Linked DNA regions of Neurospora crassa OR74A. The protein of the gene in region 1 purifies or fractionates together with the protein of each later gene. This does not show direct contact. Links are inferred from orthologs where the notes say so. Each region holds a gene or a part of one and is shown in the gene's direction. Other genes may lie near its edges. The genes, in order: NCU03764, NCU06217, NCU00981, NCU11175, NCU01524, NCU02511 and NCU00404.

Evidence for each region.
Region 2: the proteins of NCU03764 (region 1) and NCU06217 purify together in Saccharomyces cerevisiae (affinity purification with mass spectrometry; 3 studies listed by BioGRID). This does not show direct contact. The link is inferred for Neurospora crassa OR74A from reciprocal best matches to the Saccharomyces cerevisiae genes YTM1 and NOP4.
Region 3: the proteins of NCU03764 (region 1) and NCU00981 purify together in Saccharomyces cerevisiae (affinity purification with mass spectrometry; 4 studies listed by BioGRID, with this or other methods). This does not show direct contact. The link is inferred for Neurospora crassa OR74A from reciprocal best matches to the Saccharomyces cerevisiae genes YTM1 and NSA2.
Region 4: the proteins of NCU03764 (region 1) and NCU11175 purify together in Saccharomyces cerevisiae (affinity purification with mass spectrometry; 5 studies listed by BioGRID). This does not show direct contact. The link is inferred for Neurospora crassa OR74A from reciprocal best matches to the Saccharomyces cerevisiae genes YTM1 and DRS1.
Region 5: the proteins of NCU03764 (region 1) and NCU01524 purify together in Saccharomyces cerevisiae (affinity purification with mass spectrometry; 3 studies listed by BioGRID, with this or other methods). This does not show direct contact. The link is inferred for Neurospora crassa OR74A from reciprocal best matches to the Saccharomyces cerevisiae genes YTM1 and BRX1.
Region 6: the proteins of NCU03764 (region 1) and NCU02511 purify together in Saccharomyces cerevisiae (affinity purification with mass spectrometry; 7 studies listed by BioGRID). This does not show direct contact. The link is inferred for Neurospora crassa OR74A from reciprocal best matches to the Saccharomyces cerevisiae genes YTM1 and NOP2.
Region 7: the proteins of NCU03764 (region 1) and NCU00404 purify together in Saccharomyces cerevisiae (affinity purification with mass spectrometry; 4 studies listed by BioGRID, with this or other methods). This does not show direct contact. The link is inferred for Neurospora crassa OR74A from reciprocal best matches to the Saccharomyces cerevisiae genes YTM1 and RPF1.

Annotation. Positions count from the first base shown.
Region 1 is NC_026505.1:2,340,292-2,343,708, forward strand, and holds NCU03764 (microtubule associated protein), read left to right. Parts: upstream 1-1,144; 5' UTR 1,145-1,338; coding exon 1,339-2,802; 3' UTR 2,803-2,917; downstream 2,918-3,417. Other genes in the region: NCU03763 (DNA polymerase delta subunit 2), read right to left, coding at 1-330, 386-695, 761-810; NCU03765 (3'-5' exonuclease/helicase), read right to left, coding at 3,176-3,417. UniProt on the Saccharomyces cerevisiae protein: Component of the NOP7 complex, which is required for maturation of the 25S and 5.8S ribosomal RNAs and formation of the 60S ribosome.
Region 2 is NC_026503.1:1,936,196-1,940,292, forward strand, and holds NCU06217 (nucleolar protein 4), read left to right. Parts: upstream 1-1,297; 5' UTR 1,298-1,472; coding exon 1,473-3,791; 3' UTR 3,792-3,955; downstream 3,956-4,097. Other genes in the region: NCU06216 (nuclear condensin complex subunit 3), read right to left, coding at 1-758. UniProt on the Saccharomyces cerevisiae protein: Required for 60S ribosomal subunit synthesis. Probably involved in the processing of 27S rRNA to produce mature 25S rRNA.
Region 3 is NC_026501.1:6,508,714-6,512,289, reverse strand, and holds NCU00981 (ribosome biogenesis protein NSA2), read left to right. Parts: upstream 1-1,412; 5' UTR 1,413-1,596; coding exon 1,597-1,599; intron 1,600-1,716; coding exon 1,717-1,735; intron 1,736-1,811; coding exon 1,812-2,097; intron 2,098-2,242; coding exon 2,243-2,684; intron 2,685-2,751; coding exon 2,752-2,787; 3' UTR 2,788-3,076; downstream 3,077-3,576. Other genes in the region: NCU00980 (hypothetical protein), read left to right, coding at 1-717. UniProt on the Saccharomyces cerevisiae protein: Involved in the biogenesis of the 60S ribosomal subunit. May play a part in the quality control of pre-60S particles. Under normal, rapid growth conditions, high levels of NSA2 would allow the progression of pre-60S particles through the ITS2 processing.
Region 4 is NC_026503.1:3,110,112-3,114,172, forward strand, and holds the start of NCU11175 (ATP-dependent RNA helicase drs-1), read left to right. Parts: upstream 1-1,261; 5' UTR 1,262-1,432; coding exon 1,433-3,160; intron 3,161-3,217; coding exon 3,218-3,979; 3' UTR 3,980-4,061. Other genes in the region: NCU00234 (hypothetical protein), read left to right, coding at 1-775. UniProt on the Saccharomyces cerevisiae protein: ATP-binding RNA helicase involved in ribosome assembly.
Region 5 is NC_026502.1:3,192,924-3,196,699, reverse strand, and holds NCU01524 (ribosome biogenesis protein BRX1), read left to right. Parts: upstream 1-1,456; 5' UTR 1,457-1,607; coding exon 1,608-1,753; intron 1,754-1,831; coding exon 1,832-2,049; intron 2,050-2,118; coding exon 2,119-2,732; 3' UTR 2,733-3,276; downstream 3,277-3,776. Other genes in the region: NCU01523 (GTP-binding protein ypt3), read left to right, coding at 1-61, 143-223, 296-435. UniProt on the Saccharomyces cerevisiae protein: Required for biogenesis of the 60S ribosomal subunit.
Region 6 is NC_026501.1:2,564,206-2,568,484, forward strand, and holds the start of NCU02511 (S-adenosylmethionine-dependent methyltransferase superfamily domain-containing protein), read left to right. Parts: upstream 1-1,479; 5' UTR 1,480-1,893; coding exon 1,894-2,785; intron 2,786-2,855; coding exon 2,856-2,892; intron 2,893-2,965; coding exon 2,966-3,154; intron 3,155-3,223; coding exon 3,224-3,739; intron 3,740-3,802; coding exon 3,803-3,960; intron 3,961-4,027; coding exon 4,028-4,279. Other genes in the region: NCU02510 (clathrin heavy chain), read right to left, coding at 1-493, 584-673. UniProt on the Saccharomyces cerevisiae protein: S-adenosyl-L-methionine-dependent methyltransferase that specifically methylates the C(5) position of cytosine 2870 (m5C2870) in 25S rRNA. Required for 60S ribosomal subunit synthesis and processing.
Region 7 is NC_026503.1:3,739,871-3,743,533, reverse strand, and holds NCU00404 (RNA processing factor 1), read left to right. Parts: upstream 1-1,149; 5' UTR 1,150-1,287; coding exon 1,288-2,008; intron 2,009-2,080; coding exon 2,081-2,256; intron 2,257-2,336; coding exon 2,337-2,598; intron 2,599-2,668; coding exon 2,669-2,793; 3' UTR 2,794-3,163; downstream 3,164-3,663. Other genes in the region: NCU00405 (glycyl-tRNA synthetase 1), read right to left, coding at 1-483. UniProt on the Saccharomyces cerevisiae protein: Essential protein. Required for biogenesis of the 60S ribosomal subunit.

The DNA of each region.
Region 1 (3,417 bases):
CTTTTTAGAGGAGGGCTTGTGGGACTGCCTGGAGAAAGAGGCGTCCATCATTTCGACGTCTTCGGAGGAGTCTGCTTCCTTTTTGCCTTTTGAGAGCGACCAGCGCTCGGGCTGTGGTGGTAGTTCGGCGAAGAGGAGGTCGATGACTTCGAATTCGCCGTTGGCGTTCTCGGTGCCCATTACCGCGACGATGCAGCCGGTCACCATGAAGTGGTTTTGCAGAGCGTTGCCGACAAGACGGATGCGGCCGGAGTCGTCTTCGAGCATTACCGAGTCTTCGCCGTTGCCGGAGTAGTAGTGGCCGACCGAGGTGGGAGCGGAGATCCAGCGCTATAACATCATTGTCAGCTGCCTGGTGTCCACCAAAGGATAGGCTGAAACTCACATCCTTGGAGACATCCTCGAGGATTGAGGGCTTTAGAGGCATGTCCATATATACTGTTCCAGCTACCCAGCATAGTTCTCCCTGGCGAACGTCTAGGACACGCTCGACCCTCTTGACCTTCTCACCACCAAGCACTGTTCCCTCCCAAGCGGCGCTGGCGGCTGCCTCGACGGCGGGCCTGATCTTTGTAAGACGCAAAAAGTAAATATCGGCATATTGTTGTTGATAGGGACGGGTTTTTTCGAGTTTGAAGGTATGAAGGGGCTTGTAGTTGGTGATCTGGCGCTGGAGAGCCTCGGGCGCATCGCCTCTTCGTGAAGTTGGGTTGTTAGCTGATGATCGCCAGTGGAAGATGGATGATCCACTGCTACTCACGAGGGCTTCTGTAGCAAACCGCTACCGAGAACTTCGTCCAAGGTGACCATCGTATGATTGATACTGACAATGGCTCAAGATGTGAGAACGACAAAAGCAATTGGTGACTTATTCATGTGCTGCCCGACTCGGAAACTGACTTCAAGGGACGAAACTCGACGACGCGCTTGACAATTTCGAGACGCGTAGCTCCAGTGGGTTCAATTAAGCCAGGTACATGACCGGTACTACTCTATACTAGTATAGTTTACATAGTAGCGGCGCTTCAGCACTGTGACCCTCACAGGAACCGTCGGCCCCGCTATAAAGTTCCGATAAGATAGGGGAACGTGGGGTAGCTAGAACACTCCAGACCCCTGCGCTGCAAGGCTGGACAGAAAAAATTGGATGGAGTCTTGGATTTGGCATGGCCTTGTGGTGTCCGCTGCAAAGTAAACATCCACACTCTCCTCCCGACGACGCCTGTTTCACGGTAATCTAAGCCAATCTGACTTTTACTTGTCAATTGATAGTATTCAGCCTGCCCATACCGAACAGCGACTACCCAATTCACATAATATCACAGCACAGGCACCGCCATGGACCACCCTACCGAATCAGGCGCCCAGGTCCGGGTGACCTTCACCACCCAGGAGGAGGACATCCAGCTCGATGAGAGCAAGCGCCAGCTCCTTGTCCCCGCCGACATCCGCCGTTATGGCCTCTCCCGTATTCTCAACTCCGAGTCCATGCTCGACACCAACTCGATCCCCTTCGACTTCCTTGTTAACGGCAGCTTCCTCCGCGGCAGTCTTGAAGAGTACCTCAACGCCAACGGCCTCTCGCTCGAAACCAACATCACCCTTCAGTACGTTCGCAGTTTGATCCCACCAACATACGAGGCCAGCTTTGAGCACGACGACTGGGTCAGCGCCGTCGATGTTCTTTCCGCTACTTCTCCCGCGGGCCGCTGGTCCGGCGACAACTTTCAGCGCGGCCAAGATCGCATCCTCTCCGCCTCGTACGACGGTCTCCTCAGGATATGGGACGCCTCTGGAAATGTGATTGGCACCTCGCCCTCGGGCAGCCACGGTGGTCACACTGCCAGCATAAAAGCTGCCAAATTCCTCTCCAGCACTCAGATTGCCTCGGCCGGCATGGACCGCACAGTTCGCGTATGGAAGTACACCGAGTCGGGCGAGTCGTACGAGCGTCGCGGCGAGCTGAAGCCCACTCTCGAACTGTACGGCCACACCTCCTCGATCGACTCGCTCGAGGTTGACGGCGCCTCGAAGCGCATCCTCACTGCCTCCGCCGACGGTTCCATCGGTTTCTGGACCACCTCCAAGGCGTCCGCGCCCGAAGTCTCCGATTCCTCGCTCCTTCCCGGCGCCCACACATCCAAGCGCCGCAAGCTCGCGACCTCCGTCACCGCCGCCCAGCGCGGCCCGCTCGCCCTTATGAACATCCACAATGCGCCCGCCACGGCCGCCGTCTTCGACCCCCGCGACCGCACCGTTGCCTACTCTGTGTCGCAGGACCATACCGTCAAGACCATCGACCTGACCACCTCCAGCGTGGTCAGCACCTTCACAACCTCGCATGCGCTCCTCTCTCTCGCTGCCCTGCCGCGCTCCTCGGCCTCGGCGCCCCTTCTCGCCTGCGGCACCTCCGCCCGACACATTACCCTCGTCGACCCGCGCACCAGCACGGCCGCGACGAGCGTCATGACGCTGCGTGGGCATGCCAACAAGGTGGTCAGTCTGGCGGCGAACCCGGAGAACGAGTACTCACTGGTTTCGGGCTCGCACGACGGGACGTGCCGGATCTGGGATTTGCGGTCGGTCCGGCCAGCGACCAAGGACGAGGGCGGCATGGGCAGCGTCAGCGAGCCCGTGTACGTTATTGATCGCGAGAGCCAGCAGGGCAAGAAGAAGAAGAGCAGTGTGACGGGCGACGGGTGCAAGGTGTTCAGCGTGGTGTGGGATCAGCTGGGCATCTTCAGCGGTGGTGAGGATAAGAAGGTGCAGATTAATAAGGGGAGGGGTGTGAATGCCGAGTAGAGGAAGAAAAATGGTCGGGAAAGAGGGGGTTGTTGATGAAGAGAAGGGAAGCAGCAGAACTTGGTTGTTATGATATACCCAGGATAGATAAAATGGAATGTGAATACTGTACAGGATATTTTTGTGATATCTGCAGGGACGAGGCCAAGAACAGCCGTGACAGATTCTTTCTGAACTAAACTGTACGCGAAAACTGTACTGACCTGGAGCATAGACTAGATGGCTTCTGCAGAGCCCAGTCAGGTTGTTCTGAGGATTATACAAGGTTCATCTACCAACGTCTAAAAGTAGCCAAGTCGGTCTCGGGGTATAGGTGCATCGTCGACATCTTTCCTTTCTTGTTCAGCACTCGACCAGCAGCTTGAGAGCCGGCTCAGTGACTTCTCGACATCTTCCTCAACCTCTCCACCTCTTCCTCATCAACCGTCGCTTGACTGCTGCTATTGCCCAGCGTCAACTCCTCATCAAAGTCCAAATCCCCAGCCTCCAACGCAGCCTTCATCACATCCTCCACGCTCTCTTCCTTCGGCTTTACCTCCACCTCTGCCTGTGTCTCATCTACCTCCTCACCCTCAACCTCCTCTACCTCACCTTCCTGCTCCTGCTCCTGCCCAA
Region 2 (4,097 bases), on another chromosome or scaffold:
TCGGCACTAGGGTCGTTCTGCAAGACTTCGAGGAGCTTTTCGAGAAGACCAGTCGATCCATCATCGTCGCTATCGTCGGAATTCGGTTCGCCCTCGAACTGGTTGCCAGCCAAGCGTCCAAGACCCAGCACAGCCTGTGCCCGGACCATGGCCTCCTTGTCGCGAATCCTCCTAAGTAGACTTGACCGTAGCTTCTGGAAGAGGTCGTCGTCAATCGCGTCGAGGGAGTTGATGATATGAGATATGAGTTGCGTTGACCGATAGCGCACAAACTTGTCCTTGGCGATCATCAAGGGAAGAACGGTTTCCATCAAGTGTCCGGTAAGCCGGGTGCTGGGTGTCTCGGGCATGGTGCTGGCGTCCGGGTCGGCCTCGCCGAGAATTTCGTTATCCTTCTCGACGGCATGCCGCAGGAACAGACCGATGAAGCGCACCGTCTTCTCGCCGACTCCCTCGCTCTTCTTGATGGGCATGACGCGCAGGACACAGCGTACAAACTCCTTGTTGAAGTCATCTTCCTCGAACTCGTCGGCCTCGGCGGGCTTCTTCGTACTCGTCGGCTCGTAGCAGCATGCTTCTTGTATCTTGCGCAGGGTCACGGCCAGCTTGCGATGGGATGCCGTGGTCTTTTGGGCGTCGCCGAAGACGGTCGCGACTTGTGTGCGTAGCGCATTGTCGGGAGTATCCAAGGGTGCTTCTGGTACGACCGAGGTCTGGCGCGCCCCGCGTGTCGCTCTCGTCGATCTGCCCGGCGCCATGGTCGGCAATGACTGTTGGTATTAGCGGGGCCTGCACAGCGGCAGTCCTCTATTTGTATGCGATATGGAAAAGGTACAAGTAATCCAAGCCCAAGATATAAGAAAACAAGCAAAAAAAAAAGACGGATGTGAGGTTTCGTAGGATGGCTTTTGCAACTGAGCAGGAGCCGGGGATGAATGAAAGTGACACTATTCGCGAATGAAGGTTGTTTTGTTTACTTTGCACTGCAGGTGGGCTGCTGTGAATTTCCTGGCGGCCCCGTCGTCACCTAGCGGGAGGGACTGTCTGACCTGCTGCAGAGGGGTCGCGCTGCTCGCTGCGCTGTATGTCGCAAAACGTATCGACCCTGCTGGTGAGCTTGAATGGTCTGTGCGCCCCGCCTTTCCTTTGGTGTGGATTGTGGAAGCGCGCGAAGAGAGGAAGTGGAAGAGACGGGCTCAGGATCCCGCTGCCAAGCTTGAGGGAAACGATAAGCTCCCTTGTACGCTCTTATCGGGACTCCACTTCGAATATTTTTCTTTGGGCGAAGGGTCCAGAACTGTTGTCGCTGGGGGAAGCTGTGCACTCGGCGATTCCCATCCACCATTTGCGCCTTGAGAGGGTCTGTTCTCTTCACTTTTGGTTTGATTTGGCTGCTTTCTCATCTCTCCCCTTCTTTCAACAACAACACCACCTAACAAACACATAACATAACAACCCGATTGCTTGCAATAATGGGCAAGGACGGGAACAAGAAGCGCCAACGCGAGGTGGACGAGGAGATCCCAGTTGATCCCGATGCCATCAAGGATTCCGATGTTGCTGCACAGAACCCCCCAAGCAAGAAAGCTAGAGTTGAATCCAACCGCTCTCTCTTCATCCGACAGCTGCCTCCAAGTGCCACCGCCGAGTCTCTGACCGAGTTCTTCTCCCAACATTTCCCTGTGAAGCATGCCACCGTCGTCCTCGATCCCAAGACCAAGACCTCGCGCGGCTATGGTTTCGTCACCTTCACCGATCCCGAGGATACCCTCGAGGCCAAGGCCAAGCTCAACAACTACCTGCTTGAAGGGAAGCGCCTGAAGCTCGACATTGCCGAAGCCAGACACCGTGATGCCAAGAAGACCGGACCCGTTGTGTCCAAGGTCGCCGAGGAGAAGCAGAAACGTGCCGAAGCCGTCGCCGAGGCCCAGAAACCCAACAAACTCATCATCCGCAACCTGCCATGGAGCATCAAGAAGCCTGAGCAGTTGGCCGAGCTATTCAAGCCATATGGTAAGGTCAGGTTCGCCGACTTGCCCAACGATAAGGGCAAGCTCTCTGGTTTCGGTTTCGTCACCCTCCGTGGTCGCAAGAATGCCGAAAAGGCTATCGAGGCCGTCAATGGCATGGAGGTCGATGGCCGCCCATTGGCCGTCGACTGGGCCGTGGATAAGCAGACATGGGCCCAGCAGAACGGCGAAAAGTCAGACGACAAGAAGGAGAAAAAGGACAAGAAGGTTAAGGAACCCAAGGACAAGAAGACAGAGGAGGAGGAGACTGCTGGCATGACACAGGAGGAAAAGGATCTTTACAACTTCTTCAAGAGCCAAGGCGAGAACCTCGAGAGTGAAGACGAGGAGGACGAAGACAAGGACAAGGAGGACGAGGATGAAGACGATGAGGACAAGGACGAAGATGATATCGAGGAGGACGAGGAGGACGAGGAGGATGAGGAGGAGGAACAGAAGCCCAAGCGGCTAACCGACAACTCTCTAACACTCTTCATTCGCAACCTACCATACACCACCACCGATGAGCAGCTGAAGGCGCACTTTACCCAGTTCGGCGGCATCAGATACGCCCGAGTTGTCAAGGACAAGGCCACCGACAGGCCAGCCGGTACCGGTTTCGTGTGCTTTTTCAACGAGGAGGAGATGAAGGCCTGCCTCAAGGGCGCCCCCCGCCATCAACCTACCACCACACTCGTCAAGCACTCCATCCTTCAAGACGAGACCGTCGATCCGGAGGGCAAGTACACGCTCGACGGGCGCATCCTTCAAGTCGCCCACGCCGTCTCCAAGGACGAAGCCGAGCGTCTCGCGGAGGCCTCGGCCGGTAAGAAGGACAAGGACAAGAGACGCCTGTACCTCCTGAACGAGGGCCAAATCACACCCTCGTCTACGCTCTTCAAGGTCCTTACCCCGGCCGAAATCAAGATGCGCGAAGCGTCGGCCAACCAGCGCAAGAAGCTGATCCAGTCCAACCCGTCGCTGCACCTGTCGCTCACCCGTCTCGCGCTGCGCAACCTGCCGCGCAACATCGGGTCCAAGGAGCTCAAGGCGCTCGCGCGCCAGGCCGTCGTCGGCTTCGCCAAGGACGTCAAGGAAGGCAAGCGCGCGCCCATCTCCAAGGAAGAAAACTCGCGCGGTGGTGAGCAAGACAAGGAGAACGAGCGCCTCCGGAAGCTCAAGGGCAAGGGTGTCGTCAAGCAGGCCAAGATCGTGTTCGAGACGACCACGGGCACCAAGGTGGACGAAAAGGTCGGTGGCGGCAAGTCGCGTGGCTACGGCTTTATCGAGTACTCGTCGCACCGCTGGGCGCTCATGGGCCTGCGCTACCTGAACGGGTTTGCCGTCAAGAACGAGCTGGGCAAGACGCAAAGGCTGATTGTCGAGTTCGCGATCGAGAACGCGAACGTGGTGCAGCGGAGGAGACAGGATGAGGAGAAGCAAAGGACGATGACGCCCGCGGAAAGGAAGGCGGAGATGGAGGAAAAGAAGAGATCCAAGGAGGCCAAGGAGGCATACAAGGCTGGAAGGAAGGCGGATAGGAAGAAGGGCGCTAAGCCTGAGAAGCCTGCTGGGTGGAACAAGGGCAAGGATAAGAAGGGCCCGGCTGAGGTGGCCAAGGCCGCAGGCGCCGCCCCGGCGAAGGAGGTGAAGGCTGAAGATATCAAGGTGGATAAGAAGGGCAAGAAGAGTGAGATGGTCAAGGAGGCCCTCATGACCAAGATCCTGGCGAGAAAGAGGCAACAGAGGAAAAAGAAGGCTAACATTAGGGGCAAGAAATAAGCCTGGGCTCTTGGAGTTTACCTAATGTAGGGAGAGAGTGTGTGTTTTTCTGCTGCTGGCCCGGAATGTTAAACCATTTATGTTATTCTTAGGGCCTTTCCTGTTTGCTATCTAAGTATACCTTTATCACGATCAAAAGCAATCCCTTAGCGTTTTCCAACACCTCTCAGTCTATTTCCGCCGTGGACACTCGTGAACTCTTTCGCTGGCAGTTCTTAACCAAGACAACGCTCAATAATATTGTACGCCCTCTACATGCTATTATTATATAATAGAACGCCTGTTTGCCTGCTTTGTTTTTCTCGC
Region 3 (3,576 bases), on another chromosome or scaffold:
GCCAATCAGCCCATGCTGTCATCCGTTGGAAAGATTCAGCACAAGAAGGTGGAGAAGCAGTTGACGCTGAAGGAACGCAAGGAATTAAAGGCCGAGGAAGCGAAAAAGGGCAAGAAGGATGTAAGGCCACCGACTACCGGGAGGAGCGGTGTGACAGCTGGGCCAACCCGCAATGGTACCAACGGCACGACTGCGAACCGTCAGCGGAGTATCACCCCCTCAGCCCCGGCTGGCGCCAAGTCCAAGACAGGCCAAAATGCCGTGGAGGAGAAGAAGGTAAAGAAGGCTGCTTTAGCGACGACTGGATACCAAGGCACGGCACGTCCCCGCCCAGGGGCCACCACCACAAAACCAGGAGCATCCACCTCGGCAGGCGCAAGTAGGGGCCGTGGGCTGTCCGGTTATGGCGCCTCATTCTCACGTCCCCGGAGACGCGAGGAGGAGGATGAAGAGTTGGACGATTTCATCGAGTACGACGAAGATGAGGACGATGGCTACGGCTATGGTCGTCGCGGTGGTTACGAGTCACTGGAAGAGGATGACTCAGACATGGAGGCGGGATTGTCCGACATCGACGCGGAGGAACGCCGGGCAGAGTTGCAGGCTCGCAGAGAAGACATGGAGCAGGAGGCGCTGGAGAAGAGGTTGAAGCGCGAGAAGGAGGAAAGAAAGCGGGCAGCACTTGCAAAACTCAAGTCCAGAGCCGGAGACCGCTGATATGTCGTGGTTGCGTGGCGTGTCTCCTTCTTTCTTTTGCCTCTAAATTGGGAAGGTTTCGGCGCATCGTGATAATTTCAAGGCAGGAATTCGTTTTCTGGAGACGGTTTTGCAATGGCGTTGGCTGGAAGACAGGACGGACACCCAGAAACATTTTGCATCAGCGTCTGGAGTTTAGTCATTTTGCACGGATTCCGGTTTCATTGGCGGGCGTTGGCTGGCAATAGAGCCCGTCGGACGAATTATAGTATAGGTTGTCATGACACGGTGTAGCATATCTAGATATCTTAACACCCCCAAGCATACCACGTCTTTGGGTTTTGCCTTTGTTGACATACCTACTGTGCTCGTTGAAGCGGGTTATGCGAGCCACACAACTAGTGTCCCTTGGTAATAACCTAGTTGCAGGAGCCATTCTACGAATGGTAAGGTGATCTCCGGATCTATACAAAAGTTGTCCACTGGCCTTCCATCAAGGTTCTCGTCCTCAACGGGCGGCTCTGGCTGCCGCGGTGCACTTCCAATGCCCTGCAGCTGGCAGGCACCTTCATCCGAACCCACTCCACGTTTTCCTGGACATGCTGTTAAGTAGATATCAACCAATGACAGGTGATGAAGCTGCCCCACTATGTCCACCTCTTTACGGGTCTCCGCCACTGGAGGAGCCGCCCGATAAGGAAAGCTAGCCTTGAATGGTTTTTTTATCGGCTTCAAGACGTCCGTTCAGCAGGCATTCGCATAGGTAGAGGTACTGAAGCATATTGACCTAAACCGCATCGTCATTCTCGTCGCCCTTCGTCGCCCTACAACATCTGAAGGCCAGATTGCGTCGCCACATATCTTGAACCGCAAGACCCTCAAAGGGCCTAAAACACCAATATGGTACGGATATCATTTCTTCGAATTGCCCTCCCAATCCACAGCCACTCTCCTCAACATCATGACCCCTTCCGATCACTTGAGAGCAGACCATGCTAACCGACGTTTTCCTGAATACAGCCTCAGAACGAATACATCGGTATAGTTCCCTTCGCACTCGATCTTGATTACCGTCGACCTGTTTCCAGTCCCTAACCAATTATTTCGTTTCGCAGAACGCGCCCAGAAGCTTCACGGTAAGCGTCTGGACACCGAGGAGCGCGCACGCAAGAAGGCTGCCCGTGAGGGTCACAAGCAGAGCGAGAATGCACAGAACTTGCGTGGCCTGAGGGCCAAGCTCTTTGCCAAGGAGCGTCATGCCCAGAAGATCCAGATGCGCAAGGCCATCAAGCAGCACGAGGAGCGCAATGTCAAGGGCGCCCCCGAGGAGAAGGACCCTTCGAACCCCGTTCCCGCTTATCTGCTCGACCGTTCGAACCCCACGAGTGCGAAGGCTTTGAGGTACGTCACTTGAATGGGAGGACACATGAGAAGCGAACGGCCGCGGCGGAGGTGGAGGCCAATGTGAATGCAATGATGGCAGTAGTCATGGAGGTTGGAAAGGGTCCCATACGATGACGAGAGACTGACCGTTTTCTTCGTGCAGTTCCCAGATCAAGAGCAAGCGTGCCGAGAAGGCCGCTCGTTTCTCGGTCCCTATTCCCAAGGTCAAGGGTATCAGCGAAGAGGAGCTTTTCAAGGTCGTCAAGACGGGCAAGAAGGTGCACAAGAAGGGCTGGAAGCGCGTCGTCACCAAGCCAACATTCGTCGGACCCGATTTCACCAGACGCCCAGTCAAGTACGAACGCTTCATCCGGCCCATGGGTCTCCGTTACAAGAAGGCCAACGTCACCCACCCTACCCTCAATGTCACGGTTCAGCTCCCCATTCTCGGCGTCAAGAAGAACCCCAGCAACCCCCTTTATACCCAGCTTGGTGTTCTGTCCAAGGGTACTATTATCGAGGTCAACGTTTCCGATCTTGGTATGGTCACCGCGTCGGGCAAAATTGCCTGGGGTCGTTATGCGCAGATCACCAACAACCCTGAGGTATGACCAGCACAACCCCGCCTCTTAACTTTACATGGACGAACTGCTAATACTTAACTTCCACCAGAACGACGGATGCTTGAACGCTGTGCTCCTGGTTTAAGCGCAAGAGTGAAGAGGGTGATGGTTTGATTTGTCTAATTATATGTCTAGTCTCTTGGGCGGCAACTGTAACGGGATTGCGTTAAATCTGATTTTGCATCTGGGACTGGCGTCTGGTGTTTTGAAAGAGGATCGACACTCACGGCCGCGCAAAATATCTCGTCCGGGGGTTCACTTAGGTAGTATAGTGGTTAAGATACACACACAATCTGCGGTAGAACATTATACCCTCCGATCATTTGTTTTGGTTGATTGTATCACCTGATGGTTTAGAAGACATGGATTAATACGATAAGACACATAGATATATCTTCTCTGGTTGCTGCTGCGCTTGATCTAGGTTGACTCCCATGGGTTTCGAGCAGACTATGCTGGCAAGCGATTAACCTTACAAAGGTCTAAATGGCTGTATGGAACCCTGCATCCTGAGTCGATGGAAATTTGCTGGTCGATTTGACATGCAACACCGCAAGCAACTAACGCAAGGGCAACACATTGACTTCTACATCAGCTCAGAGCATCTAGCTTGTCTTCTGTATCTTGATTTTAGAAGGAGAGCAGTTCCGAGCTTCATCACTCCAGGGTCAACCCAGCCTCCAAGAATCAAAAGCAGGTATTTTCTATCCAGACCGACGAGTAACTTCTGTACTCTTCAAGCCCACTTGCCACCACTCAACGGTCAACGAAACGCTGATACCGTACCAACGAAGAGCTACTCGAAGCGATATAAAGAAGCGATTTGCCCATGTCTCGGGATCCTAGCTTTAATGGCCCCGGGAAAGCGCAGGAA
Region 4 (4,061 bases), on another chromosome or scaffold:
ATTGCCCCAGTTATCTGCGGCCTCCGCAGCACCTCTCGGTGGCTATTACCCCGATTACCACAACTACGAACAGTACACCACCCCTCCTCCAACCGAAGCTCCAACTTCAACACCACATCTTCCTCTTCCTTCAGTTCCTACTACGCTCCCACGACCAAACCCAACAACCTCACAAACCCAACGGCCACAGCCCCCATTAATCGTCTCATATGGACCCAACCGAGTAACGCCCACTCCAGCTGTGACTTCGCCTACAGTGCCTCCCGACGAGTCTATGATTGAAAGACCACCTAGAGGAGTTGAATTACAAGGCGAACCCGCATCTCTGATGGAAAGGAGACATCCATGGGAGGACATTGATCTCCCGAGCGCCAGTAATAACGGTCCTTTACCACCATACGCATCGACAGAGGAGTACGCTGCAATGGAAAGCGGCGCGATCCGTAAGCTGGAGGAGCCAAGGGCGCATGCTGAGCTGCCACCAACCAAAGATGGCTACTATCATGCTACGTGGGATATTGTTGAGCACGAATTGCCAGGTGACGGATATCAACGAGACCCTCTCTACCCGCAAGCATCCGCGTCCGGACGTGGAAGGGATATCGATGAGCAGAAATTCTTGCTGGATGATGTTGAAATGGCGCATTTGAAGGCGCAGAAAGAACGAATCCGCGCTGAAATGAAGAAGAAGCAGAAGCAGAAGGAGACTTACCAGCAGGACCAGGGGCATGACCAGGACTTCCTTGGAGCGTCGGCGAGCTTCTCCACACGGTAGCACGAGTGATAATGTGGCGGTCCATGTGAAGAAAGTTACGTTGTGGGCAACTGATGTTTTGGAGGCGAAGGTTTGAGGATTAGCATTATACCATTGGCAAGGTGTCTGGCGTTCATTTTGGGTATCGACGGGGTAGATGACTCCTGTGTAGTATCATCATATAATACGGGCTGATACATCTGCGTTGAGAATAGCTGGACCATATGCCCCGCACAAGTATAAATATAGTCCTACTGTAGTAAGGACAAGGTCCTCTGGCTCTATAACATGAACGCGTATTCAATTTCTTGGGACAATGTGGTGTTGAACGAGTTGCTCCCGAAGACGGCAGGTACTCACTTGATAGTTGAGATGGTACGTACCCATCCCCGCAGCTGTCGACCAGCTGCCACTGATAAGATCCCCAGATCCTCCAATCACATTGACCGCCCGGCAGAAAAAGTTACAGACGGGCATGGTTCCCAAATTTTTGTTTTCCCTTTCGTTCTGCGGCGGAGGAAGAGACGAAAAAAGACCCCACTGACTGCTATCAGTTGTACAATCTTGACGATTCCACCAATTCCCACTCAGCATCGGGAGCTTCCCGTCGTTCTCTTTTCCAACACAACACTACAGAACAAACAACGGTCACAGACCGTTGCAACACCATCCACCACAATGGCGCCCTCCCAAAAGCGCAAAGCGATCGACGACGATTTCATCCTCACCATTTCCGACAATGAAGAAGACATCCCACTAGAAGAGGAGCAAGAAGTTGTACCCAGGAAGAAGGCCAAGACGGCCACACAACAATCGAACAAGCAAAAGAAGAAGAACAACAAGAAGTCCAAGAAACAGCAACAGACTGAAGATGACGACGACGAAGCCGAAACAAAAGAAGACGACGCCGCCGACCTCGGCATCTGGGGCGACAACGACGAAGACGACGGCGCCATGGATACCGAGTTCCAGTTCGTTGTCGACGGCCAGAACGAAGTGGACGCCGAGTTCGACGGCTGGGGTTTCGAGGGCGCGCACAAGGGTGTTGTGAAGGGCGCCAACGCGGGCGGGGACAAGAAGGCTGTGGATATCGATGAGATTATCAGAAGGAGGAGAGAGAGGAAGGCTGCTAAGGAGGGGAAAACCACGGCGACAAAAGAGGAGGAGGATAAGATGGAGGTTGATGAGGAAGAAGACGACATAGAAGAGATTGATGTGGATTTGGATGATGATGAGGATGGTGTCTTGGCTGACGATGCTTTTGGTATGGGTGTTGGGTCGGACGTGGAAGAGGAGGAGGAGAAGCAGGATGCGAAGATGGGGGGTGTTGATGGGGAGGATGAGGATAGTGAGGGTGAAGATGGGGAGAAGAAGGGAGAGGATGAAGACGAGGGCGATGCGTCGGATGATGACTCGGTTGCTACGGCCGTTGAGCATCCTGATGATGTGCAGTCATCGGATGATGAAGAGGGTATTGATGAGGAGGAGGAGGCCAAGATGAAGGAGTTCTTTGCGCCGGAGGAGGAGAATCAGCCTAAGAAGAAGGGCGAGATGTCTTCGTTCCAGGAGATGTCTCTCTCCCGTCCTATCCTTCGCGGTCTTACTTCCGTGGGCTTCACCAAGCCGACGCCCATTCAGGCCAAGACCATCCCCATTTCGCTTATGGGTAAGGATGTCGTCGGTGGTGCCGTCACCGGTTCCGGTAAGACGGCCGCCTTCGTCGTTCCCATCCTTGAGCGTCTCCTCTACCGTCCCAAGAAGGTTCCCACCACCCGCGTCGTTATTCTTACGCCCACCCGTGAGTTGGCTATCCAGTGTCACGCTGTCGCTGTCAAGCTCGCCAGCCATACCGACATCAAGTTCTGTCTGGCTGTCGGTGGTCTCAGTCTGAAGGTGCAAGAGGCCGAGCTCCGTCTTCGCCCGGATGTGGTCATTGCCACTCCTGGTCGTTTCATCGATCACATGCGCAACTCTGCCAGCTTCGCCGTCGACACCATCGAGATTCTCGTCCTCGATGAAGCCGATCGCATGCTCGAGGACGGTTTCGCGGACGAGTTGAACGAGATTCTTACCACCCTTCCCAAGTCCCGCCAGACCATGCTGTTCTCTGCCACCATGACGTCGTCTGTCGACAGGCTCATTCGCGCCGGTCTCAACAAGCCTGTGCGCATCATGGCCGATTCGCAGAAGAAGACTGCCGGTACGCTTGTTCAAGAGTTTGTCCGTCTCAGACCCGGTCGCGAATCGAAGAGGGAAGGATATCTGTTGCACATCTGCAAGACTATCTACACGGAGCGTGTCATTATCTTCTTCAGACAAAAGAAGATTGCGCACAAGATGAGGATCATCTTTGGTCTGTTTGGATTGTCGTGCGCCGAGTTGCACGGTAGCATGAACCAGGCTCAGGTATGTTTACGATTTACGATGCTCCAGATGGATGAGTGATACTAACAGGATCCATAGCGTATTCAAAGTGTCGAGGACTTCAGAGATGGAAAGGTCAACTTCCTCCTTGCCACCGATCTCGCCTCACGTGGTCTTGATATCAAGGGTGTCGACACCGTCATCAACTACGAGGCTCCCCAGACCCCCGAGATCTACGTCCATCGTGTCGGTCGTACAGCGCGTGCGGGCCGCAGCGGTACCGCTATTACCCTGGCTGCTGAGCCCGATCGCAAGGTCGTCAAGGCTGCCGTCAAGGCCGGCAAGTCTCAGGGCGCCAAGATCAGCAGTCGCATCATCGATCCCGCGGACGCCGACAAGTGGCAGGCCGAGATCGACGAGTTGGAAGATGAGATTGAGGAGATTATGCAGGAAGAGAAGGAGGAAAAGCAGCTGCAGAACATGGAGATGCAGGTCAAGAAGGGCGAGAACATGATCAAGTACGAGGACGAGATCAGCTCGAGGCCCAAGCGCACGTGGTTCGAGACGCAGGAGGACAAGAAGAAGGCCAAGGCGGCGGGCCGGGCCGAGCTCAACGGCGTCAGGGACAAGCTCAAGTCCAAGAACGAGGGCAAGTTGAGCAACAAGGACAGGAAGAAGCTCGACACCATGCAAGAGCGCAAGCAGGAGAGGACATACAAGAAGGGCAGCGCCGAGAGAGCCGGTAAGGGCGCGGTGCTGAACCTCAAGAAGGTCGTCAAGAAGGTGGGACGGTCTGCTGGGCCTAAGAAGAAGGGCGGCAATGCTGGTAAGGGTGGTAAGGGCAAGGGCAGGAGAAAGTAAATGTGAGGAGCACGATTCTGTTGTTGTTGTTGAGTTTCTAAATGTAATTGAGCTTCAAGCTAAGTCTAGTGTGCTTTTGATA
Region 5 (3,776 bases), on another chromosome or scaffold:
AACAAGAGCGATTTGCGGCATCTGAGAGCCGTACCCACGGAGGACGCCAAGAAGTTTGCCGGTACGTTGCGCGTCACAGCCATGATGACATGGTCGCTTGGGAAAGCCGTATCGCCAGGATGACTGACAGAGAGAACTGCAGAGGAAAACCACCTATCCTTTATCGAGACTTCGGCTCTCGACGCCACAAACGTCGAGCTTGCGTTCCAAAACATTTTGACTGGTAACGTTTGCCCAAAGCCTACAGCTGCTGCTCTGGCGCGAGCCTACCGCTAACATGCGATCATTTATCTAGAAATCTACAAGATCGTGTCGACCAAGAACTTCGACAACGGCCCCAGCGGGTCCAACGAGGGCCACCAAAACCTGTCTGGCCAGAGCATCTCGCTCAGTCAGACCGCGAACGACCCCCAGGCGAAGTCTGGCTGCTGTTAGGAGGTGCTTGATTCTCCGGGCCGGGAACCGAGTGGCCCTGAAGGGTTGAGGTGCAGGGTGCAGCAGAGTACAACAGGGTGCCGAACCAACAACGGCGTCACATATGTCTGACATGAAGCAATGGAGGCTTATGATGAGCAATGAAGAGCAGCATCGGGGGAAAAGTACGGACGGATCCTGCCCAGTCTTATTACATCACGGTCGCCGATGGGATGGTCTGTTTTTCTTTTTCTCTCTATTTTTTTGGGCTTTTGGGGAGGGGGGAAAGGATCATGATGCTCGTCTTCCAGCCTTTCCTTTTTGTTGTTATTACTACTACTACCCCTTTCTTCCCTTTTCCCCCCGTGCTGGTCGTTGGAATTTTCCTCAATGTGGTTAACGAAGCCATCACTTGCGCATGGATTACGAAAGATATTATTTAGTTGAAATGAACTATGGGCGATAAACAGCCCTTAACTCAACCTGGTACATATTGCTCCACGTTGTCAAGGTCTCCATCTATTGCATCCACAATGTGGGAGAAGAGGAGTACCTCGAGAGTGAGTACCTATGTAGCGATAATCGTGCAGGATCTCGTTATGACATTCAAGTTGATTATGTGCGACAGCGGGAAACAGTCAATACAAATTAAGACATCTGGGCTTGCCTGATGGATTATGGCGACTGTCCCTCATTACTCCCATCGCGTCACCCGAGGCGGTTGAAGTGGGTTTGAGTGCGGACAAGAGGCCAGTCCCGTCCCATCCCCCACTGTAGGGCAGACAAGAAGAACGCGTGGAACTTGGACAGTGTGTGTAGGCAATGGAATCCCCAGAACTTGGGGGTCCGGATTCCAGGTTGGGTCCATCAGTGGGACAAATGCGGGTTGCCCAGACCGCCGACCGCCTTTCAGCTGTTCCAAGCAGGGGGGCCGGAACAGGGACGCTAGTAAGATAAGAGAAGCTTATCGGAGTGGGGCTGCGATTGGCCGGCGAACTTTTTTTGAGATGGAACAGCCTGCACTCCATCACTGCGCTTCGCCCGCGACGTTCGTGGATTGGAGCATTGAATTCACCTTTGCAATCCGCATTCCGTTTTTCTGCCATCACTTCCACCACAACCACCACCAACTTCAGTCACCCTTGTTTTTCGCCCGATTTTGATACCCAAAGAACGACAAGAACAAAAAGAAAATGGCCGCCGTTTACAAGTCGCTCTCGAAGAGCGCCAAGAAGGTCGAGGACACGGAGAACGACAACAACACCACCACCACCAATGGCGGCTTTCGGAAGAACAAGCAGAGAGTTCTGATTCTCTCGTCCAGAGGCGTTACCTACAGGTACATATAGACCCTGCATACCTGCAAGATGGAAGAAGAAAGGGTCAATTGCTAACCGCCTTTGCGCCCCGAGTACAGACACAGACATCTCCTCAACGATCTCGCAGCGATGCTCCCCCACGGCCGCAAAGACGTCAAGTTCGATTCCAAGTCCAAGCTGTACCAACTGAACGAGCTTGCCGAGCTCTACAACTGCAACAACGTCATGTTCTTCGAGGCGCGCAAGGGCAAGGATCTGTACATGTGGTTTAGCAAGGTTCCTAACGGCCCTACGGTCAAGTTCCACGCCCAAAACTGTGAGCACTATCCATATCCGAGATACGCATTGTGAAAGAGGAAAAATCGGGTTCTAACAAAAAGCACAGTGCACACCATGGAAGAGCTTCACTTCACGGGTAACTGCCTCAAGGGCTCGAGGCCACTCCTCTCCTTCGACCTCGCCTTCGAGCAAGAGCCGCACTACCGCGTCATCAAGGAGGTGTTTCTGCAAATGTTTGGCGTCCCCCAGGGCGCGCGCAAGTCAAAACCGTTTATCGACCACGTCATGAGCTTCAGCATTGCCGACGGCAAGATCTGGGTACGCAACTACGAGATCCGAGAAGTGGAGAAGGCCAAGGGCGAGAAGGACAGCGAAGGAAACGACATTGTCCCCGAGAGCGACAAGTCATCATCGAAAAAGAGAAAGGGCGCGCCCAACGCGGAGCTCAAGGACACAGACGTCAGTCTGGTTGAGATCGGACCTCGGTTCGTCCTAACGCCCATCATCATACAGGAGGGCGCGTTCGGCGGCCCCATTATTTACGAGAACAAGCGCTTTATCTCCCCCAACCAGGTGCGCTCGGAGCTGCGCAAGGCCAAGGCGACCAGGCACAACACCAGGGTGGAGCAGGTCAAGGAGAGGCTCGGCAAGCTCGAGACCCTCACGGCCCAGGCGAAGAAGGAGAAGGATGTCTTGGATACCCGGGAGCTCTTTGCTTAGAGAAAGGAGGAGGAGGGGAAAGAGAGAGAGAGAGCTTTTCACAACACGATTTCATCACGTCTGTTCGCTTGCGACACATCAAAGCAACGCACGCCTTAGGTTTAGGGGTAATCAAGGAGTTTTTTGTACTTTTGCTGGCTGGCTGGTTTGGTCTGGTTCGGGAAAAAGAAAGGAAATCGATTTGCATTGTACAACATTACAGTATTCGTGGGGATGTGTGAGACGGACGAGCTGTCCTCTTTTGACAGTTGGGAAAGAGGATCATGATCGAGTGGTAGATGAGCACTCAGCGTATAAGGTGCTGGCTCGAAAACGGACACATCAGATCAAGATTGAGTGATGAACGCCGTCCTGGCTCCGGTCTTGGTCGTGTTGAAAGGAGATGGTCAAAGAAGGGTAGGAGAGCAAGTACTTTGCTCGGCACCTCACTAGCGGTTGACTGTCTATAACCACACTCCTGAGGGAGATGTTGTTCGCATAGGACCTAGACTCTACCTTAAATGCAGTTGCGCTGTGAGATATTGTCTCACATTTTTGCTCCATGATTTGGGTTGTTTCCATATATATAAGAGACACGAGGTGTCTCTTTCGTTGAGTTGTTGGGATGATATCACCACCTTCAGTACACTCCTCAAGGAGAAGAAGAAGAAAAAGTACCATGTTTTGTCCCAAGGTAGCTTTGGGCGACATCGTCCCAAATTTCAGATTTTCTGACGGACTAGCCATCTTCTCAGGGGCTTTGGGTCGTCTAAGTCATGTAGTGTGCCTGGGAGTTGGCGCGAGTTTGGTGCTTCTTGAAAACAAGAGATAAGGACTGGAGCCGATACCTAGGACGTCGCTCCTTAAAGCGAAAGACAAATGGCTTGAGTCTAATGTTGAACACGTATGGCTAACGCTTTTGATCAAAATTTAGAAGCAAAAAAAACGACTCGGAGTACTTTGGTCATGACTCAGGTTCACTCATCGATATCGGAGGAGAGAGTTGAGGATAGGTTGTAGAGGGTTCACTTCACTCATTGTGAAAGTTCGCTACAGGGGACCTGT
Region 6 (4,279 bases), on another chromosome or scaffold:
TACCGCGGTCTTTGGAATAGAGCTGCATGGCGCCAACAACGCGGCCCTGCTGTTGTGAGATACCGACAACAACCATCCACTTTCCGTCGGCGCTGGTCCGATAATTAATTATTTGGTTGCCCTGGAGATTAGCATTACGATCGAAGACCTTGACCGGAGCGGGCTGGTTCGGGTCGAAGACATCCCAATGGTAAACAGAGCCATCTGTGATCAAGCCAAGCGTGGTCTCGCTAACCCACTTCCAGAACAAGACATCCTCGCTCATGTTTGTCGACTTGAGCTTGGCCTTGTTTTCGAGGTCGAAAATCTGGAGTGTGCGCGCCTGGGCCTTGAGGGCAATTACTTGGCGCGTCCAGTGCATTATGGCACTGTCGGCCTTGATGGGACGTCGGATAACATTATTGCCGTTCTTGAGATCGACGATGATGACTTCAGGGGACGCTGCCTCGTCCTTCTTGTCGCGAATACACACCCAGTTGTCCGATTCTAGAGTCTGGGAGCGGGGGGTTCACGTCAGCAGGGGTGCCAGAGGAGGCGCGACAACTGTCACTAGCAGAGTCAGAGCAAGGTGAGGACAACGTACACAGGTATTGAAAGTGATGGCAGTCTGGTTGATGCCGAGGGCGCTGAGTTGCAGCAGCTCCTGGAATTTGATGGGTAGGGCCTGAGCCATGATGGGCGGTGGTGTTGCGCTAAGCTGCGCGCAGAGTGACGAAGATTAGCAGCCAACTTATCAAAAGCGGCTGGAAGGTGAATCCGCTGGGAAGTAGAAAGATTGGGGAAATGGAGGCTCGTGAAGCTCCGTGGACTGAATGGAATGGCGGCGACGTGAAAGGAGGCGGTGGTGGTGGTGGTTGGTTGTACTTTGGGGGGAAAATGACCGAGCTCCCGAGAAATGGGGAGGGGGAAAGAGGACGGATGAATCAGGTAGGTAGAGGTAGGTAGGAGGTTGGAGGTGGAAGGATTAACGCAAGGTCCAGAAGGCAGGTACGCAGTAAAACCCGCCGCCAAACTGTGGGTGAGAGGTGAGTCGCGATTTGCCGCTCAGTTACAGATACGTAAAGTAAAGGCGAGCAGGTACCTCGATGTCACCTCACTTCAATGCTCCAGCAGAAAGAATAGAGAAGAATCGCGGTTGTTGAAGGATGCAAAGCAGCAAGAGGAGACGTCGTTTGTTACGGGAAGTTAGTACCGTGAGAGATGAAAGATACAGCAGGAAAGATGGAAGGTGCTGAGGTGAGATGCCTCTCCAGCTGTCCAGTGTGTTTGTACATGCCGCAACTGTTCAGCGCAGACGGAAGGTACCTCTAGTACCTCTCAGGTTACCTGCCTGCTTTTGAGTGATGTGTTAACACGGGACCTCGCGGCCGGGGCGTCCACCGCCCACCGGCGCCGGCTCCATTCAGTGCTTCCCCCTGCGTCGGGTGCGCCTAGACCAGGCGGCAGGCGCCTGCCCGGGAGGCCTGCCTGCCCCCTTCGCTTCAAGCTGTCCGCCCGGTCCAGGTTGCCCGCCCTCATCCCGTCATCCTTCTACTTTCCTTTGCCCGCATTGATCGCCTCTCCTGCGAGGTCCGTCAGACGGTCCTTCCATTTCCTACCTCTAGGTACCTTATACCTCCAGGCCGCCTGCCTCCGGGGGCGCCGTTCATGCCGGGCTCCAGGGGCAGCTGTTCCCTACTCCAGAACAGCCCAGCTCCAGGGGTAGCGTCAGCTGTTGCTACAGGGATTCCGAACTTGGCCCAGCTTGACTAATGTGGGGCACTGACCAATGGCTCACCTTTTGGGACCGCAGTGAGGTGGAACCCGATTTGAGGAAAGAGACTTGGCATTGCTATCGATAAGCTTTTTCAGAAAAGAAAATCGACCCGGAGAAATATCCACAAGCGCCTGTCGATGGTGGGCTATCAGTGTTCAAACCAACCCCAACAACATCCCAATCACCACCAGACGACCAGCAATACCATCAAAATGGGTGTCGGACGTCGCATGCAGAAACAGGGCCCTCCTGAGCCCCTCTCGGAGGAGCACTTCGCCAACCTCAAGCGCAAGAAGGGCATTCCCTTTGACGAAACCACGACCGAAGTCGACACTAGAAGATCCAAGAAGCAGAAGATTGTCAAGAAGCAGCCCAAGACATCCGGCTCCAACACTGTCGCAGTCAAGGGCGCCAAGAAAGAGGTCAAGGAGGTGAAGAAGACTGGCACAAAGCCCGCCCACAGGTCCAAGGAGTCCAAGAAGCCTAAGAAGGCAAAGCAGCCTTCGCCCGATCATGACGAGGAGATGGACGACGAGTTTGGCGCGTCCGACCTGGAGGGCCTTGATATCGACGGCGATGAGATGGACGTTCAAAAGCTAGGAGACGATTTCCTCGGCACTGACGACGACTCGGTTTACGATTCCGACCAGGACGGTGCTACCAAGAAGGAGGCATTCGTCTTCTCTGACGATGAGGATGACGAAGAGGATAGAGAGGAGAAGCTCACAGCCGCCAACATCGAGGGTCTTTCGAGGAAATTGGATATGCAAAGAGAGAAGGAAGCAGAGGAGAACGAGGCCGAATTGCGCGACGAGGCGCTCCAGACCAACATCGCTGGTGGTGATGACCTCGGTGATGACGACGACCAACTTCAGACTAAGACCAAAACTTTGCTGGCACCCGATCTCCAGATGTTGAGAACGAGGATAACAGACGCCATCCGTATCCTGGACGACTTTTCGAATTCGGCGGAAGAGGGCAAGAGTCGCGCCGAGTACACCAGCCAACTCATCAAGGATATCTGTGCCTGTAAGGACCCGATGTTCCTTGCGCAATACTTCTCGTGAAATGCACAAATGTTAACTTCAGGTTTTGCCAGACTACGGTTACAACGAGTACCTCGCTGAAAAGCTTTTGTATGTTTTACAACCTGTCGCATGCCTGTCTGCGGCGATACCACCAGTGGGGAAACTGTCTGACTGTTTGTAGCAACCTGTTCCCTCCCAGAGAGGCGTTCGCCTTTTTCGAAGCCAACGAGAGTGCCCGCCCCGTCGTTATCCGTACAAACACCCTCCGAACACATCGCCGCGATCTTGCCCAAGCACTCATCAACCGCGGTGTCACACTCGAGCCTGTAGGCAAGTGGTCCAAGGTCGGTCTGCAAGTCTTTGACTCGAAGTACGTATATTCTAAATCAGGACTACAACGACGCGATTCATGCAAATGGCTAACAACTGGGGCATAAAGCGTTCCCCTCGGTGCCACGCCTGAGTATCTGGCTGGTCACTACATCCTCCAGGCCGCGTCTTCGTTCCTGCCCGTGATGGCTCTCTGCCCCCAGGAGGGTGAGCGTGTTCTCGATATGGCCTCTGCCCCCGGTGGCAAGACCACCCATATGGCGGCGTTGATGAAGAACACCGGTGTGATCTTTGCGAACGATCCCAGCAAGCAGCGTGCCAAAGGTTTGATCGGCAACATTCACAGACTGGGCGCAAGAAACGTTATCGTATGCAACTACGATGCGCGTGAGTTCCCCAGGGTCATGGGTGGCTTTGACAGAGTCTTGCTCGATGCCCCATGCTCGGGCACTGGTGTCATTGCCAAGGATCCCTCTGTTAAGACCAACAGAGACGAGAAGGACTTCCTGCAGCTCCCCCATCTCCAAAAGCAGCTTCTCCTGGCTGCCATCGACTCGGTTGACCATGCCAGCAAGACTGGTGGTTACGTTGTCTATTCGACGTGTTCCGTTGCCGTTGAGGAAAAGTGCGTTTTCCATATCGTTCTTAACTGTACTTTCAGAAGACGCTAACCCAAGATTACAAACAGTGAGCAAGTCGTTGCCTATGCGCTCAGCCGCCGTCCCAACGTCAAGCTCGTCGAGACTGGCTTGGCTTTCGGCAAGGAAGGCTTCACCAGCTTCATGGGCAAATCATTCCACCCCAGCCTCAAGCTCACCCGCAGATACTACCCCCATCTTTACAACGGTACGTTTCGCCTCCTTATACCCCCTTTCCCTCCCTCCCCTCCTTCATCACTAACACAACCCTCCAGTCGACGGTTTCTTCGTCGCCAAGTTCCAGAAACTCGGCCCCACGCCCGCCACTGCTGTCCGCGCCAACGGCGTCGACAAGTCCAACAAGCCTCTGGACGGCCAAGCTTCCCAGGAAGCCCAAGAAGTTGTCGACAAGACGCCCATTGGTGCCGAGTGCGAAGCCCAGGATGACTTTGGCGGTTTTGATGATGGTGAGGACAAGGAGTACATGGAGCGCGCTAAGCGCAACGCTATGCGCAGGAGAGGTTTGG
Region 7 (3,663 bases), on another chromosome or scaffold:
GAACTTGTCGACGTGGCCGGAGGTCTTGAGAACATCGTGGGGGGTCAGGGCGGTGCAGTCAACCTCGAGCATGTCCTCCTCGAGGACAAAGTGCTTGCGCCAGATGTCGATGATGTTGGCCTGGAGGGCACAACCGGGCGGGCCATAGTCGTAGAGGCCAGCAACACCGCCGTAGATATCGAAGGAGGGCGCAAAGAACATGCGGCGGCGCAGCATGGACTCGAGAGCGCCCTTGTCGAGGGGCTGGCCCTTGAGGGTGGTGGCCGTCGAGGTCATCTTGGTGTTTTGTTTTTTGACGTAGACTTGGAAGCGATGGTGCGAGGTAGAGAGGGAGAAGGATCGGAGCGAAGTCGAAGAGATCCGCGGGATGGGCGCCGGGGTCCAAGAAGTTCGACTGGCGACGGCTCGGGTGGATAAGGTCGATTTGAATGCTTGACCAGCAACAGGAGAACGGAGGGAGGCGAGACGGGCAAGAGGTCGCATGAATTGGTCTTGTTACAGTGCTCAAGGGAACCAAGTGAGTCACGGTCGCCCACTGAGGTTTCGTCGAGGCCTTTTCAATTGAAACACGTACTTCAACCGAATCGCGGGATGATTTTTTTCTTTGGGGGGGTAGAGGGGCGCCATGGAGGGGCCGGCACCAACGACCCAGACAACCTAAGCCAAGGGACAGCGGTCCAGATTCCCGCTCTCGAGCCGCCGTCAGTGGCGGCGCGGTACGCGACAGAAGGCTCGACTCGCTGGAATCCACCAGCCATATCAGGAAGTGGAACTGCACATGCTACTGTACACTACCTCTACCTACCTAAGTAACTCCCTTACAGAAAGCGCATTCCGCTGGCTAGCGTTATTGTGACTTTTCATCGGCTAGAGGTATTGATATTTGATTATCAAGAGTCCGTGATGCCGCCGTTCTTCATCCCAAAAATTCTGCTTCCGTCCCAACTTACAGCAAGGGACGGGATGGAGTCATCCTGTGCAGGTGACAGTCAGGTAGTAGTGTACACTGAGGGGTAGCGGTACGTACCTGTCCCCGGCTGAGGCCGTGCGTTAGCTGTTGGGGTACCCTTGTAGATGCACGTCTTGGCGCCCTTGATGGCTCTGGGCCCAGAAAAAAAGTTGAAAGTTTACCGGGCCCGTTCAATTCATCCGTCAGGTAGAGGTAGCAACAACTGCCCAGCATCACGTCGAAGTTTGAACTGTGACCTGGAGAATTGATCCTACCCTACAATTTTGACACCGCGACAACCACTAATCCCACCGCCGTGTTACCACATCGTAGCCGATATGCCGTCCGGTAACAAGGGCAAAAACCGCTCCGGCGGATCGCTGTCGCTCAAGACCTCCAACAAGATTGTCAGAAAGCAATTATACGTCAAGCAAAAGAAGGAGCAGGGAAAGGAACGCCATGAGGAGCGTCACCGCCGGAGGAAGGAGGAGGCCAAGGATCCCAAACTCAGAGAAGAGCGCCTCGCAAACAACCAACCCTTGACCATTGAGAGGAAACGCGTGTGGGATGACGTTGACGACGACAGCCTGGGCGTCGCTGTGGATGTTGCCGAGCTCAAGAGGAGGCGCTTGGAGAAGGAGGAGGCCGAGGCCGCCAGGCTAGCCGATGGAGTCACGGAGGAGGATGAGGAGAAGGACGACGATGCCGATTCTATGTTGGACTCGGACGAGGAGGGTGACGACGACGACGAAGATGCCGAGGAGCGCATCGAGAGACTCAGACAGGAGCGTGCGCAGAGGAAACCCAGCATCGCTCCCTCGACCACGTCGACAAATCTAGACATGACTCCCGACTCGCTCACACGACAATTTCCCAATCTCTTCAACGAGGAACCCCCAGTCGACCCCAAGATTCTGGTCACCACCCATTTGAACGGCACCATTCACAAGGAGGCGGAGGACATTGCTGCCATCTTTCCCAACAGCACGTACATCAGACGCAGTGCGCACGCGTATGGACACAAGTATAGTGTTCGCGAGATCGCAAAGTTTGCCAAGAGTGAGTAGCGCACCCAGGTTGGAGTTTTGTTGCCCAAGAGAAAATTGCTAACACAGGCCTGAATTGTTACAGACCGTGGATACACGATTCTCATGATTGTCGGCGAAGATCTCAAGAAGCCTAGCTCCCTGACCGTCATCCATCTCAACGGCGAAGATGTTGCCCCTGGTCCTTCGTTGACATACACCATCCGGAACTACCTGCCTGGAAAGGCTCTCCTTGGCCACGGTAACCCTACAAACCACTACGTAAGCCGTCCATCCTAATCCCCAAGTCCATTAATTACAGGACATTGAGACTAAGCATTGCAACCAAAAAAAAAATACAGCCCGAGCTTCTCCTCAATGGATTCAAGACCCCTCTCGGTATCCTCGCCGCTAAATCCATGCACACCATGTTCCCTCCCAGGCCCGAGCTTTCGGGTCGCCAGGTCGTGACATTGCACAACCAGCGTGATTACATCTTCTTTCGCCGCCACCGCTACGTCTTCCGCGAGGCCCGCACGACGGAGAAGAACGTGGTTACTGCGGAGGGCAAGGAGATGGAGGGTATGCAGGGTATCCGTGCTGGTTTGCAGGAGATTGGACCCAGTAAGTCTTGCTACCGCGGAAAACAAAAGTTTTGGCGAATGAACCGAAAGTGGCTGACTTGTTTTGATAGGATTCACTCTCAAGCTTCGTAGAGTGGATAAGGGTATCGGTCGGGCTGGCAGCGAAGGAGAGGATGCTTTGAAGTGGGAGTGGAAGGCCAAGATGGAGAAGGTTCGCACGCGCTTCAACCTCTAAGGGGGCTGATCATGATAGTAGTATTGGTGATACCCTTCTTTCAGTATGCCATCGTCTCTGTTGGCACTGGAGAGTATTTGTCTTGTTCAAAGTGTGTATGTGGCGTTATCGGTTCACAAAAGGGTTTGGGAGGAAGGCATGATTCATCAACATCAGGTCACTATGACTGTACTTCAAGACTACCTATTTTCTGTGCATGTACCGCCGGTTTCCTCTCCCTTTCTACGATTTATGACCAGCCTTCTTGGCTTCCTCCTTGAGCATAGCCACTGGATATCTAACCCAGCAACGAAATCTCAGCCATTCTGCTCAGTATCATCGGCAAGAGAAGCTGGAGATGCCGCCGAGTTGCGGTGATAGTGGGCGATCCAGATGGTGTAGAGGGACGAGCCGAGGATGCCGAGAAGTGAGAAGAGGATGCCCTAGAGGGTTATGATTTCGACTTGCTTTTGGGTTTGATCTGTTGCTGAACCAGGTACGGTTTTGGTTGAAAGAGGTAAAAGATAGGATATCATAATGACTGACTATCCACACCCCGCACACGACAAGCTGGGACCAAAGCCAACATGGCTCTCTCGGGTAAGACGGAGTGGTAGAGAACGTGATTCGTCACGCCACGATTGGCGTGAGCAAGATCCAAGCGATTTGGTAGAAGGTTACAGAATTAAAAGCTATTAGCCAATGAGGAAGGATCACATCGAGGGACATGGCCACGCTGAGGGGAGTGTCTCGGGGAGAGATGGAGCGAGGACAAAGAGCGAGAGGGGAGGTCGCGAGAGGAGGAAGACGGTCAGGTAGGTGGTGAGGAAGTGGAAGGTTGCGAAGGAGAGCTGGGTTAATTGGAAGGATGGGGTGGAGAAATGGACTGAA